Linked DNA regions of Drosophila melanogaster. The protein of the gene in region 2 interacts with the protein of the main gene of each other region in a pairwise test. Each region holds a gene or a part of one and is shown on either strand. Other genes may lie near its edges.

What was found.
Region 1: the proteins of Vps39 (region 2) and Rab2 interact in a two-hybrid assay, tested with the Drosophila melanogaster proteins (2 studies listed by BioGRID).

Annotation. Positions count from the first base shown.
Region 1 is NT_033778.4:6,695,131-6,700,275, forward strand, and holds Rab2 (Rab2), read left to right. Parts: upstream 1-1,608; 5' UTR 1,609-1,753; coding exon 1,754-1,799; intron 1,800-2,285; coding exon 2,286-2,445; intron 2,446-2,918; coding exon 2,919-3,255; intron 3,256-3,315; coding exon 3,316-3,414; 3' UTR 3,415-4,339; downstream 4,340-5,145. Other genes in the region: Mob4 (MOB kinase activator 4), read right to left, coding at 464-713, 762-1,135, 1,210-1,269. UniProt on the Drosophila melanogaster protein: May be involved in bidirectional endoplasmic reticulum (ER) to Golgi trafficking. Together with Rab7 involved in promoting fusion of autophagosomes and endosomes with lysosomes, probably through recruitment of the HOPS tethering complex.
Region 2 is NT_033777.3:18,270,383-18,276,048, forward strand, and holds Vps39 (vacuolar protein sorting 39), read right to left. Parts: upstream 4,065-5,666; 5' UTR 3,972-4,064; coding exon 3,902-3,971; intron 3,850-3,901; coding exon 3,377-3,849; intron 3,316-3,376; coding exon 3,066-3,315; intron 3,008-3,065; coding exon 2,760-3,007; intron 2,705-2,759; coding exon 1,821-2,704; intron 1,767-1,820; coding exon 1,364-1,766; intron 1,301-1,363; coding exon 998-1,300; 3' UTR 807-997; downstream 1-806. Other genes in the region: CG18599 (uncharacterized protein), read left to right, coding at 1-93, 211-719; eIF1A (eukaryotic translation initiation factor 1A), read left to right, coding at 4,556-4,759. UniProt on the Drosophila melanogaster protein: Part of the homotypic fusion and vacuole protein sorting (HOPS) tethering complex involved in endo-lysosomal vesicle trafficking and lysosome biogenesis.

The DNA.
Region 1 (5,145 bases), on a different chromosome or scaffold from region 2:
ATTGCAATTTCTGTTGTGTATATAGTAATTTTGTATAGTAAAGTTCACGTTTTAGTCACGTACAGCTGTGTTGGTGTTTTGGCTGCCAGTAGTCAAGGGAATTTAGTTTAGTTTACGGGGATTTGACGTGGAATCAGCCACGAGAAGGTCGTGTGCCTACATATAATTTATTAAAATAAGGAGTTAAACATAATCGTAATATAACTTGCGAAATAATTGCTGACTTAGGATCAGATGGGGCGAGCGGGTTTGAGGGGGTCTGCCCTTGTTACTTAGTTATCGTTATGTAGCTCTATGTGTATCTGACATCTAAACTACATACAAGATCTGCATTAGAGTCGGGTCCGCGTGGAATCGTTTCCCTGTCAGGGTGAGCCAACCCAACTTGCAAGCTATTGGTAAATATAAATAGATGTATGTTGAATGAGTGTTTCATGCGAGTCTGACTAATCTGGGCGGGCTCCTAAGCCTCGCTTTCGCCAGGGGCCGCGTTTTCACCCACGTTGATGGGCACGATCAGATTCTCCTTCGACATCAGATTATATTTTGTGACGAAATGCGTGAAACGGTGGCACAGATACGTCTCGGCCTCGAATTCGTCGAAAATGCGACGATGGTGAAAGTAGGCGTGCGAGAAGATGCGATACACCCGCCGACATACGGAGCCCAGCTTGGTTACCGACGACTCCTTGATGGACACCCTGGGAGAGACACTTTGCTTATTATGTGGCTAGTTCAACCATGTCGCTAAGCCTGCATACCTGCTAGGGAAGTACTTGTTGCTGTTTAGCAGACAGGCGGCACCGTCCAGCGTGTGGCGTGTGTAGTCAATGGCCGGACATTCCTTGGGCGTCTTGTGCGCGGCGCACAGGAATATCCACTGGTCAGTGGCTGTCATCTGGGTGCACGTCGACGGCGAGCACTCCTTCTGCAGCCGCACTGCCAGGCCGTTCAGCTCCATGCAGAACTGGCGCAGGTGCTCGTACTTCCACACGCCCTCATCCTGGGCTTCGGGCATGGTCAGTATGAGTTCCACGTTGCTCGGGTCGCGCTTAATCAGCTGCTGTATGTACTGCTGCACCGCCAGCGTGCTGTCCATCTCCTCCAGGGGCTCGTCGGGCCAGCGACAGAAGTCCTGAAAGGCGAAACGGAAAACGGGTCAGACGGGCCGGGCCGGGATCGTTGTTCGGACGCCATGTCATCGCTCACCTTGGATTTTGTGCCTGGCCGGTTCCTACGCAATATGGTCGAGCCGTCAGCCATCTTCATGTTTCACCCGCTCGAAGACGCGATGATCCACAACGTCTGTGCCTACGCCTTGATGAGAAAATCACTGGCAGAAACTGAATGCTAGCCTGGTCCCTGCCCCGCGGGAGTCTCCGGATGTGGGATCCCTGCACCGTAGTATGCTGAGTGTATTCTACAGGAGCTGGCACATCGCTTGACAATTAATTGGCGTTTATCCTCCAAAACACTTTGCTTTGTGCGAGAAAATTTCTGACAAATTCTACATACATACATATACCTATCGATTGGCCAGCGGCAGTGCGCATCGTTATCGATAGGGCGATTGCAGCCTTGCGGTATTTCGGTATTTCCGCCAGCCCTGGCCACAAAGTGGCCACACTGTCGCTAGCCAGTCATCATAAATACGAACAGATTGGAAAACGTACAAGAATTGCGTATTATCTGTGGCATTACGAGATCGTACTTTCTAAAAACTAGCTTACCGTAACCCCCGTCAGCTTAAAACATGTCCTACGCGTACTTGTTCAAATACATCATTATCGGAGACACAGGTGAGTGCAAGCTGCGACTTCCTTTGAAACGGAATGGCCAGTGAAAAGTTGGCCATTGTCAGGGAAACAATCTGTAATTGCAAACAACACAACAAAACAAAGGGCATCGCAGGCGTAGGGGTCGTACCCGAAAATCAAAAAATGGGGGTTTCAGGTGGTCTCAAGTGAAAAATTGATACCGTGAGATCAAAATTGCGTCGGCAGGAAAATATTCCTGGAGTCGGTGGGCCGAAGGAAAAATCAATAATACCATAACAACGCATACAGGCGTTTGCTGCTCTCAGAGTTAGTGGTGCGCGGGGAGCAGCCCACACATAAACCCTGCTGCTGACTCACCCAACCACCCCCAGTAATTGAGGGATTCCGCCCCAAAGAGCCACGGGCTTATCAGCACTCTGCTTTTCGGGATGTCCAACAGCTGTTGGCATTTTCCAGCCTGTCCCACCTTTTCCCCGCTCGCCCACTAACCCTTTTCCGTTTCCGCAGGCGTGGGCAAGTCCTGTCTGCTGCTCCAGTTCACGGACAAGCGATTCCAGCCGGTGCACGACCTGACCATTGGCGTGGAGTTCGGAGCACGCATGATCACCATCGACGGCAAGCAGATCAAGCTTCAAATCTGGGACACGGCTGGGCAGGAGGCTTTCAGGTACCCACTTCTGTTCATTTAGTGTTAATACTTAAGAAGGGATAAGTGAAAGCTCAGATTACTTCCAAAATTGAACTGAATAAATTTTTGCAAATTTCGTATCCAAAACCCCAAGTCCAAGGCGGATAATAATTCGGCTCGTTTTTTATATTAAATAAAATAATTTGAATAAAATTCTTACTTAATGATCCAAAATAATAATAATATATATATATAGAGCCTTTAGTAAAAAGGCTTAATAATTTGTATTCAAAAAATTTTATTTGCTTCATTTCGGCACATTGTTGATAGATGTTTATTTAAAAAAGTTTTAATTCTATCATTTTTAATTTTTTGTGATATAAATTTTTTATACTTTACTTAAAATTAAATAGAAGTCGTCAGACAGAAATTTAATGGGTTACTAATAATTAAATAATATAAGCACTGTCATTTATATAACTGTATTGTGACGCAAAATATTTCTTGAATAGATCTATCACACGCTCTTATTACCGCGGAGCTGCTGGCGCCTTGCTGGTGTACGACATCACGCGACGGGAGACCTTCAACCACCTGACCACCTGGCTGGAGGATGCGCGTCAGCACTCGAACTCGAACATGGTCATTATGCTGATAGGCAACAAGAGCGATTTGGATTCGCGGCGTGAGGTGAAGAAAGAGGAGGGCGAGGCCTTCGCCCGCGAGCACGGACTGGTCTTCATGGAGACTTCTGCGCGCACAGCTGCCAACGTAGAGGAGGCGTTCATAAATACGGCCAAAGAGATTTACGAGAAGATCCAGGAAGGTGTCTTCGACATCAACAATGAGGTAAGAAGGATACATTTAACTTAGAAACTTCTTGCCACTACATTATTATCTCGTTACTAGGCAAACGGCATTAAGATCGGCCAACAGCACTCCCCCACAAACCCGTCGCTCCCAGGAGCCGGAGGAGCAGCTGGAGCAGCAAACAGTGGCTGCTGCTAGGAGTAAACCGCAGATGCCCGATTGCAATTCTGGGATAGGCGCAGCCGCTTCTGTAAAAGCTACTTTAGTGACTAACTAATAGAAGGTAGTTGAAGGAACAGATTTCTTGTTTTCTATCTCAACCGTAACTAACCACGTAAACATAGCTACCACTAATCTAGCAATTGGACACTAAGCTAAATGTTAAAACCATTAAGATCAGACAGTTACAAGAAACACATCTCCTTGTTCAGCTACGTTTTATTTTACCAAAAAAAACCAAAAGGAAGAAGTAACCAGAAATAAACCAAAACAAACCACATTTGTGTACGTGAATGTCGTGCGTGATTTCTAAATTTTATAAAGTTTATTGAAACATTTTTAAATGTTTTATGCATGTATTTTGTGTATATTGAAGTTAGTTTGCTAGTTACTTCGTGTAAAATCGATAGTTATACATTGGGATTTTGACAAAATGATGTGTAATATATGAACAAAAATCAAACTGTGTGAATTTTCATTGTGATTCGATTTCAGTGAGGTCCAGCTTCGCAACGCTGCGCCACGCCCCCTTTTGCAATGGGTATCTGCTCCGCTTCTCTATACACACATACATAATTAAATATATTAATATGTTTACGTTTCCTTCTCAACGCATTTGCTTTGTCTATTTTGTTGTGCAATCCGCTTAGTCTTTATACATACACTAGAAAAAAAGTACTTTAACAAAATATACAAAACGTGAGGGCCGAAATGGGGTTATATAATTTACACAATCAACATGCATTAACCAGTGGTAACACGAAATGCTGCGATTCAATGATCAATTTAGTATTTTACGAAGTTTATATATTTAATTAACGGCGATTGCTAAGACAAAACGAAAGATACAACTGTAAACGTAAATCAAATTATTTATAATATTTGTATTTGCCCAACACAATGCGGAATAATAAATATACATACTTACTATTAATATAATTATATAAATTAAATCGGTACTTACCTTGGGTTCATTAGCGTTTAATCAAGTGATAGTTAACGACTAATTAGTTTTTTGGTGTCTAGATGAGAAGTAAAACACTAAGGCAAATTTAATGAGGCATTTAAAGTTGTAAACAACTCAACTTTTAAATGAAAAGAGGTCAGACAAATAATTACGCATTAGTGTAGTTTTAACCCTTTTTATTTAGTAAGAGGCTTTCGGTAGATAATTGTTGAATTAATGTCTTGTAAATATTATTAAATGGTGAATCCTTTTTTGTTTATGTACATATTTCCTAAAGTGTTCGGAATTAACAATTTCCACTTTCTATGTCGGCTATAGGGATATAGTGTCGCATTTACTTAATTTTTTTAAATGTGCTTACATGTTAAAACATTTTTTTACTACTGAAATATACTATTTAGAAATATTTTTGTATTTTTTTTTAATAATACTTGAACTTTTAAGATATTACATAGGTTTGTTTCTTATTTTCTGAATCTTATCTGTGTTTTGTCTAAGAAAAAGTTTGCCAAACTGCAAAAACAAGTTTTTCGCTTCAACATTAACTATTTTTTATACCCTAATTTGCTCAGTTGGTTTTTTTTAATTGGAAACTATTCGGATCCGTGACGTTTGATGTACAAACAAATGCTCCAAAGATTTTATTGTGAGTTTTAGATTGATTGAAAATGGTCACTTGTTATTGCATACGTTACATAGATTGTTGTTTATTGTATTCCCTTTAATTAATATTCGTACGAAAT
Region 2 (5,666 bases):
CCTCCGCCCTGCAGAGCCTGCAGCAGCTCCACCAGCAACACCACGCTCAGCAGCAGGCCACCCTGAGCTTTCAGCGGGAAAAACTCAAGTCGGGTAAGCAGGTGTTTCAGTCGATGAATAACCCATGATTTGATCATAAGTGGGTATTAAGTAAACATAGTGTGTGCACATCTAATACCTCCATTTGATCATCATTTTGTGATTCGGCAGATTCTCACAAGAAGAGCGCACTGAAGAACAAGCGCGTCCGGACAATCTTCACGCCGGAGCAGTTGGAGTGCCTGGAGGCGGAGTTCGAGCGCCAGCAGTACATGGTCGGCCCGGAGCGGCTCTACTTGGCACACACCCTAAAGTTAACGGAGGCTCAGGTGAAGGTGTGGTTCCAGAATAGGCGGATCAAGTGGCGCAAGCACCACTTGGAACTGACACAACAACGGCTGGCATTGATAAGGCAAACTCAACTGCCAGGTACATCGTTATTGGGCAATCAAGTATCCGTGTCGGCCAATGCGGCCCATTCTGTGTCCACGGAACGCACAAACGGATGCAGTGCAGCCTCGCCCAGCCTGCAGGAGGAGGACAACGAGGATAGCAAGCACTCGCTGTCGCTTTCGGGCGCATTACCGCCGTTGAGTCGAGCGCAGTCCGAGTCGGATTTGTCCATCTGTAACGATTCCCTGGACGGCGACAGCCTCATGGACGGCAGCGAGGAGGCCTAAAAACCACGCCAGTGCAAAGCAAGTTTCCTGTAAATATAGTCAAATAAATATGTACAATATCGGTTTTCTATACTTCTGCTTGTCTTTAATTGTTGATGATTAGCTGCAAGTTGATTGTTACAATCAATCAATGCAAACTATATTATATTGTATAAGCATTGCAGTATATCCATTACATACGAGTACTGAAAAAGCTTATTTAAAAACAGAATAATACAGACATTTACACTCAATTCGCACTTTATACCTTGATCAGTTATCACATTGGAGTATTTCACTTATTGCTGAGCAGCCGCCCTGGCGAGCCGATCGTGGCAGGATAGGTGCACGATGTGCCCATTTGGATAGCGCACGAAGGCGGACTGGGTTTGAAAACGCTTCTTGCACTCGGAACACACACTAGACTCGTTTAACTCGAAGCTAATGTTTCGCTGCTCCTCCAAGGCATTCTCCAGGCGCGTGGACTCTGCCTCCAGGAAGCCGCACATCATCTGCATCTCGTGCTTGTCGGCCATCATTTTACGTATAGATTTCTCCAAGTATTTCTCCAGCTGGGGCATGGGCATGTCATCGGGAAGGTGCTGCAAAATCCAAAATGGTTGAGAAATATTTCTAATAAGTCATGCATTCAATGCATTCTTCACCTCGAAGATCTCGAATGGATCGATTCTGGTGGCGTGGGTGTTAAGTATTTCCAGGGCCACCTCTCGATTCACTTGCGAGAAATCCGGATGCAAGGGCACACCATCATAGAGCGGTTGAGTTGGTGGTATTAATATGCACTTAATGAGCGTGTGAAATATGTGCTTGTCCTCTTTGTAATGGGCTTCCGCATAGGCCGTTGCCTTGGCCACATCTCCGAGAACATGAATATAGATGGACAGGACGTTGTCGTGCTTTTTGAGCCTGCCCAGGATTAGGGCACGCTCCTCCAAGAGTATATTGGTTGGAAATTCCTCTAGGAGGCGATCCGGCGAATAGTCGTTGGACTCCTCCAACATCTTGTAGAGCTTGGCTCGCATCGGAATGAGTTCGGGAACTTCCTCTCTAGAAAACAGGTGAGTATAAGCATTTTGATCCAGTACAATGACAGACTCTCACCCTTTTTCCTGCTGAGCAAGAAGCCGTTGCACCTTTTCGCGATACTGCTTGAGGAGCACATTGTGGAGCAGGGTGTTGCCGTCCTTCCATTCAGTGATTACGTGCTCCAAATAGGGAATGACAAGTGCTTTGTGCTTGCTAATAAAAAAATCAAGAACTTTGGCGCGCGGCAGGGATTCCACTTCAATAAGTTCGTCGGTGAAAATGGTTAGGCCTTCCTCGGGATTATCGTTTAAGACCCAGTCAGCGAACTCAAAGATCAGCGGCAGATGATCACCACCCAGCTCCTGAAGATAGCGTATGGTACGCTTGCGACCCTGCAGCACAGATCCTTCGATGCTCGCCTGCTCTCGAAGCAGTTTAAGGGCCTCCTTGTGCTTGCCCTTCATCTGGTAGAGGATGATAAGTTCAGAGATCTTGTTGTGCTTCTTCAACGTCTTTTCCGACTCCTCTAAGTGGCACTGGTTTAGGCGTAGCAGTGGTGCCACCAGAGAGTCGTTTGTCTGCAGGTAACACTTCAGCAACGTTGTATCGATGATCTCCAGCAGGGACTTTGAACTACTTTTAGTGTCGCGCAGCTTGACCACCTCCCGCTGTCGGGCCCATGCCAGATACTCGATCAGTGCCAAGTAGGCGTTCTCCAGGTCGCTATCCTCAAGCGCCGGAGTACTGGACGTAGGCACGGTGACATCTTCGGTGCCGGGCTTTGGTTCTGGCACCAAGTTTGGGAACAGTCTTATCACATCGTAGGGATCTATAGCCGCCTTTTCAAACTCCTTCATGGCCGCCGAGAACTCCTTATTGGTAAACAGCTCTTTCGCATAGAGCATGTGTATCTGGCGAATGGTTTGGGCTCGGTCCGCGGCAGGTTCATCGGAGATTTGCTGAACATAAAGTTTGTTGTAGTCGTCGTATTTTGATTTCGTTTATCGGACTCACCGTCAGCTCAATAGCCAGTTGGAATTTCTTTTGCTGTAGCAACTGCTGACGCTGGATAGGGATTTCCACCATTCGAATGCACCAAAGCTCGGAGGTGGCGGCGGCAAAGATGGTTCCCTTGTCGGCGTGAACCAGGAATTTCGTCTTCTGTAGCTCGGGAATGGTCTGGACCAGGGTGTCCTTGCCCACTAGGCTGCGCACCTCGATGGCGTTGTTGACACGACCCACAGCGAATGGCTCATCCCAGACTGTAATGAAGATAATGTGATTTAGAAATTGGCTTGAAGTGAATAGTGAGTATCGTACCCAGATCTAAAAGCGGACTTGACCAGAGCAGAGGAGTTAGGGAACTATTGCTGTCCATGGCAGCTGGCCGGACATCTGTTGAGTTATTGATTCCATCCGATTCTTTGTACTGACTCGGATCTACTACGACGAGGTAGCTGTCCTTAGAGATGCCCAACATGTTGTTCCGGATAAGGCAAATGCAGGGATCTCTGCTGATACTAGAGGAGGTAAGGAAGAGGTTGTGCTTCTTTGGTGCTTTTCCTGATATCTAGAATTGGATATGCAGACCTTTAAAATACGAAGTAAATCGACTTTAAAGCATTTCTCACATCGTAAACAACATATTCGTCTTTGAAGCCCACGCAGACAGCATGGCCCACCCAGCACAGTGTCCTGGGCACATCGCTGAGCTCGATGATCAATTCCAGGGAATTAAGCTTGTCCTCCTTCCAAAAGAAGAACACAAGACGCCGCCGGATAGCGCAGCACACCCGTATGACGGTGGCCACACGTCCGGTTGTGGACTTCGGCGTGTCCACGTCCATGGTGAACAGGGTGCATCCCTTCGTGTCGGGCGCACTGTGCATGAAAGCGAAGTTGCTCTCAATCCGCCGAATGTCGCACACCTGCACCTGTAAGTCGGTGAGTACGAAGAGCAGGTTCTCCGAGGCAATCACTTCCATTTGGGTGATCGGTTTCCGGCTGAAGTTCTTGTTGAACATCCGCATGTCCACGCCCGTCTCCTCGTCCACAGAGTACATGATCAGCTGTCCGCTGCGGGTGCCCAAGATGACATGGTTGCCTGAAAAAATGCGTCCGGTGAGTAATAGCTGTGCACCGAAAATTCCACTCACCATATGCCGCAATTGACTCTATCTGCACGCCCTGTTTCAGGATCGAGTGAACACTGTAGGCCTGGTGCATCTTGGCCAAGTGGAAAAACTTCGGTCTCCTCCGCCTCAATTTATTTTCGTAAAAAAGCTTATAAACAAACCAGATGGGAGTACCACTAATGATAGCTGATGATGATAGATATCGATAGCTTTAGCGGTGGTAAATCGATTTCTTCCTCTTATGGTGATAGCGAAATAACTTAAATATACAAAGTAGAAAATAAAATTTGTACATGTTATAATTTAAGATTCAATCGCTAATGACTAAAAAGTTGAGTGAAATTTTAAATTACGATACTTTAAACGAATGCTGCCAGACTCTGCATTGCTGTCGATAGCACCAGTTCGATATACTGGTTCCCCGCGAAACCGTCCACCTCTAGTCCTTTTCACTTTAGCGAGGCGAAATTGTCACATTTACATTTGACAAAATTGTAAGTTTTGAAACAACTCTGTCGCTTTATTTCGGGTTGAATGTTTTCATTGCATTACTACCCACCCAGTGAAGTCGTTGAGTAACAGTTTTACCCCGTTCCCGCTCCAGGGTCGCCAACAAGCCCGCAGACAGCAACAACATCGAAAGTAGCTGCACAGCAACAACAGCAAACAGCCAAAATGCCCAAGAATAAAGGAAAAGGAGGCAAGAATCGTCGTCGTGGTAAGAACGAGAACGAGTTCGAGAAGCGTGAGCTGATCTTCAAGGAGGACCAACAGGAGTACGCGCAGGTGACCAAGATGCTGGGCAACGGTCGTCTGGAGGCAATGTGCTTTGATGGCGTCAAACGCCTGTGTCACATTCGGGGGAAACTTCGCAAGAAGGTGAGTGCTGCTCTGACTACGCTCTTTGTTTCGCCTGTGCTCTCTTCGCTTGCGTTGAGTGGGTGCCCCTCTCTAAGGTGGCTCTCTTAAGCCATTTTGGCATTGATTGCCAGCGAATGCTACGTATTTACGTTATTGTTTTTGTTGAAATGCAGGCAGTTTTTGTGATTTTGGGGGATTTTGCATTACCCTGCTAACTTTCGACCTTTCTATACCTAATTTTCAACTCTCTTTTTCTGCAATTCTCTTTTACTGGTCCATTATTGAGTGGGTGTCATCGTCCTTGTGCGAATGCATTAACAAAAGAGCAGTGGGCGGTGTGGACGGGGCGGCTGATTAATAATACGCAAGTGCCTATGCACTGATGTATGTATGTAGATGAAAGCAAAGCAATAGCACTGCAAATACAGGGTGACCGCCGATACTTAATTCTTTCAAATAATTCGATTTGAAATGTAAAAAGGCGTAATACTTAAAATAAGTACTATTCTGTCGAGGTTATAGTCAATTTCACTTTACTGTCTACTTAAAACCATATGAAATTTAATTTTATTGATACAATATATATCATTTTAAACAATAGAAGTATGATATATCATATAAGTATATATATATATATCATAAGAAGTATGATATATATAGTCAGTTTTCACTTCAGCGATTCTGAAACTAAGCTAGTGAAAAAGTTTTGCTACGCACTTTTTTTTTCAATTTTTTCATGGTAGTACACCTTACGCAAAATTTTGCGTATATCTTTTGCATTTGAATTAGCTATTCAGTTACATGTTTTCAATTGCGAATACAGCCTCCTTTATAGCACTAATTTGGGTGGTCAAACTGCATTCCATGAAATACCATACGTCCGCAATGGTAGTTCCTCCTTATCACCTACCTGAGTTAGCCCTGG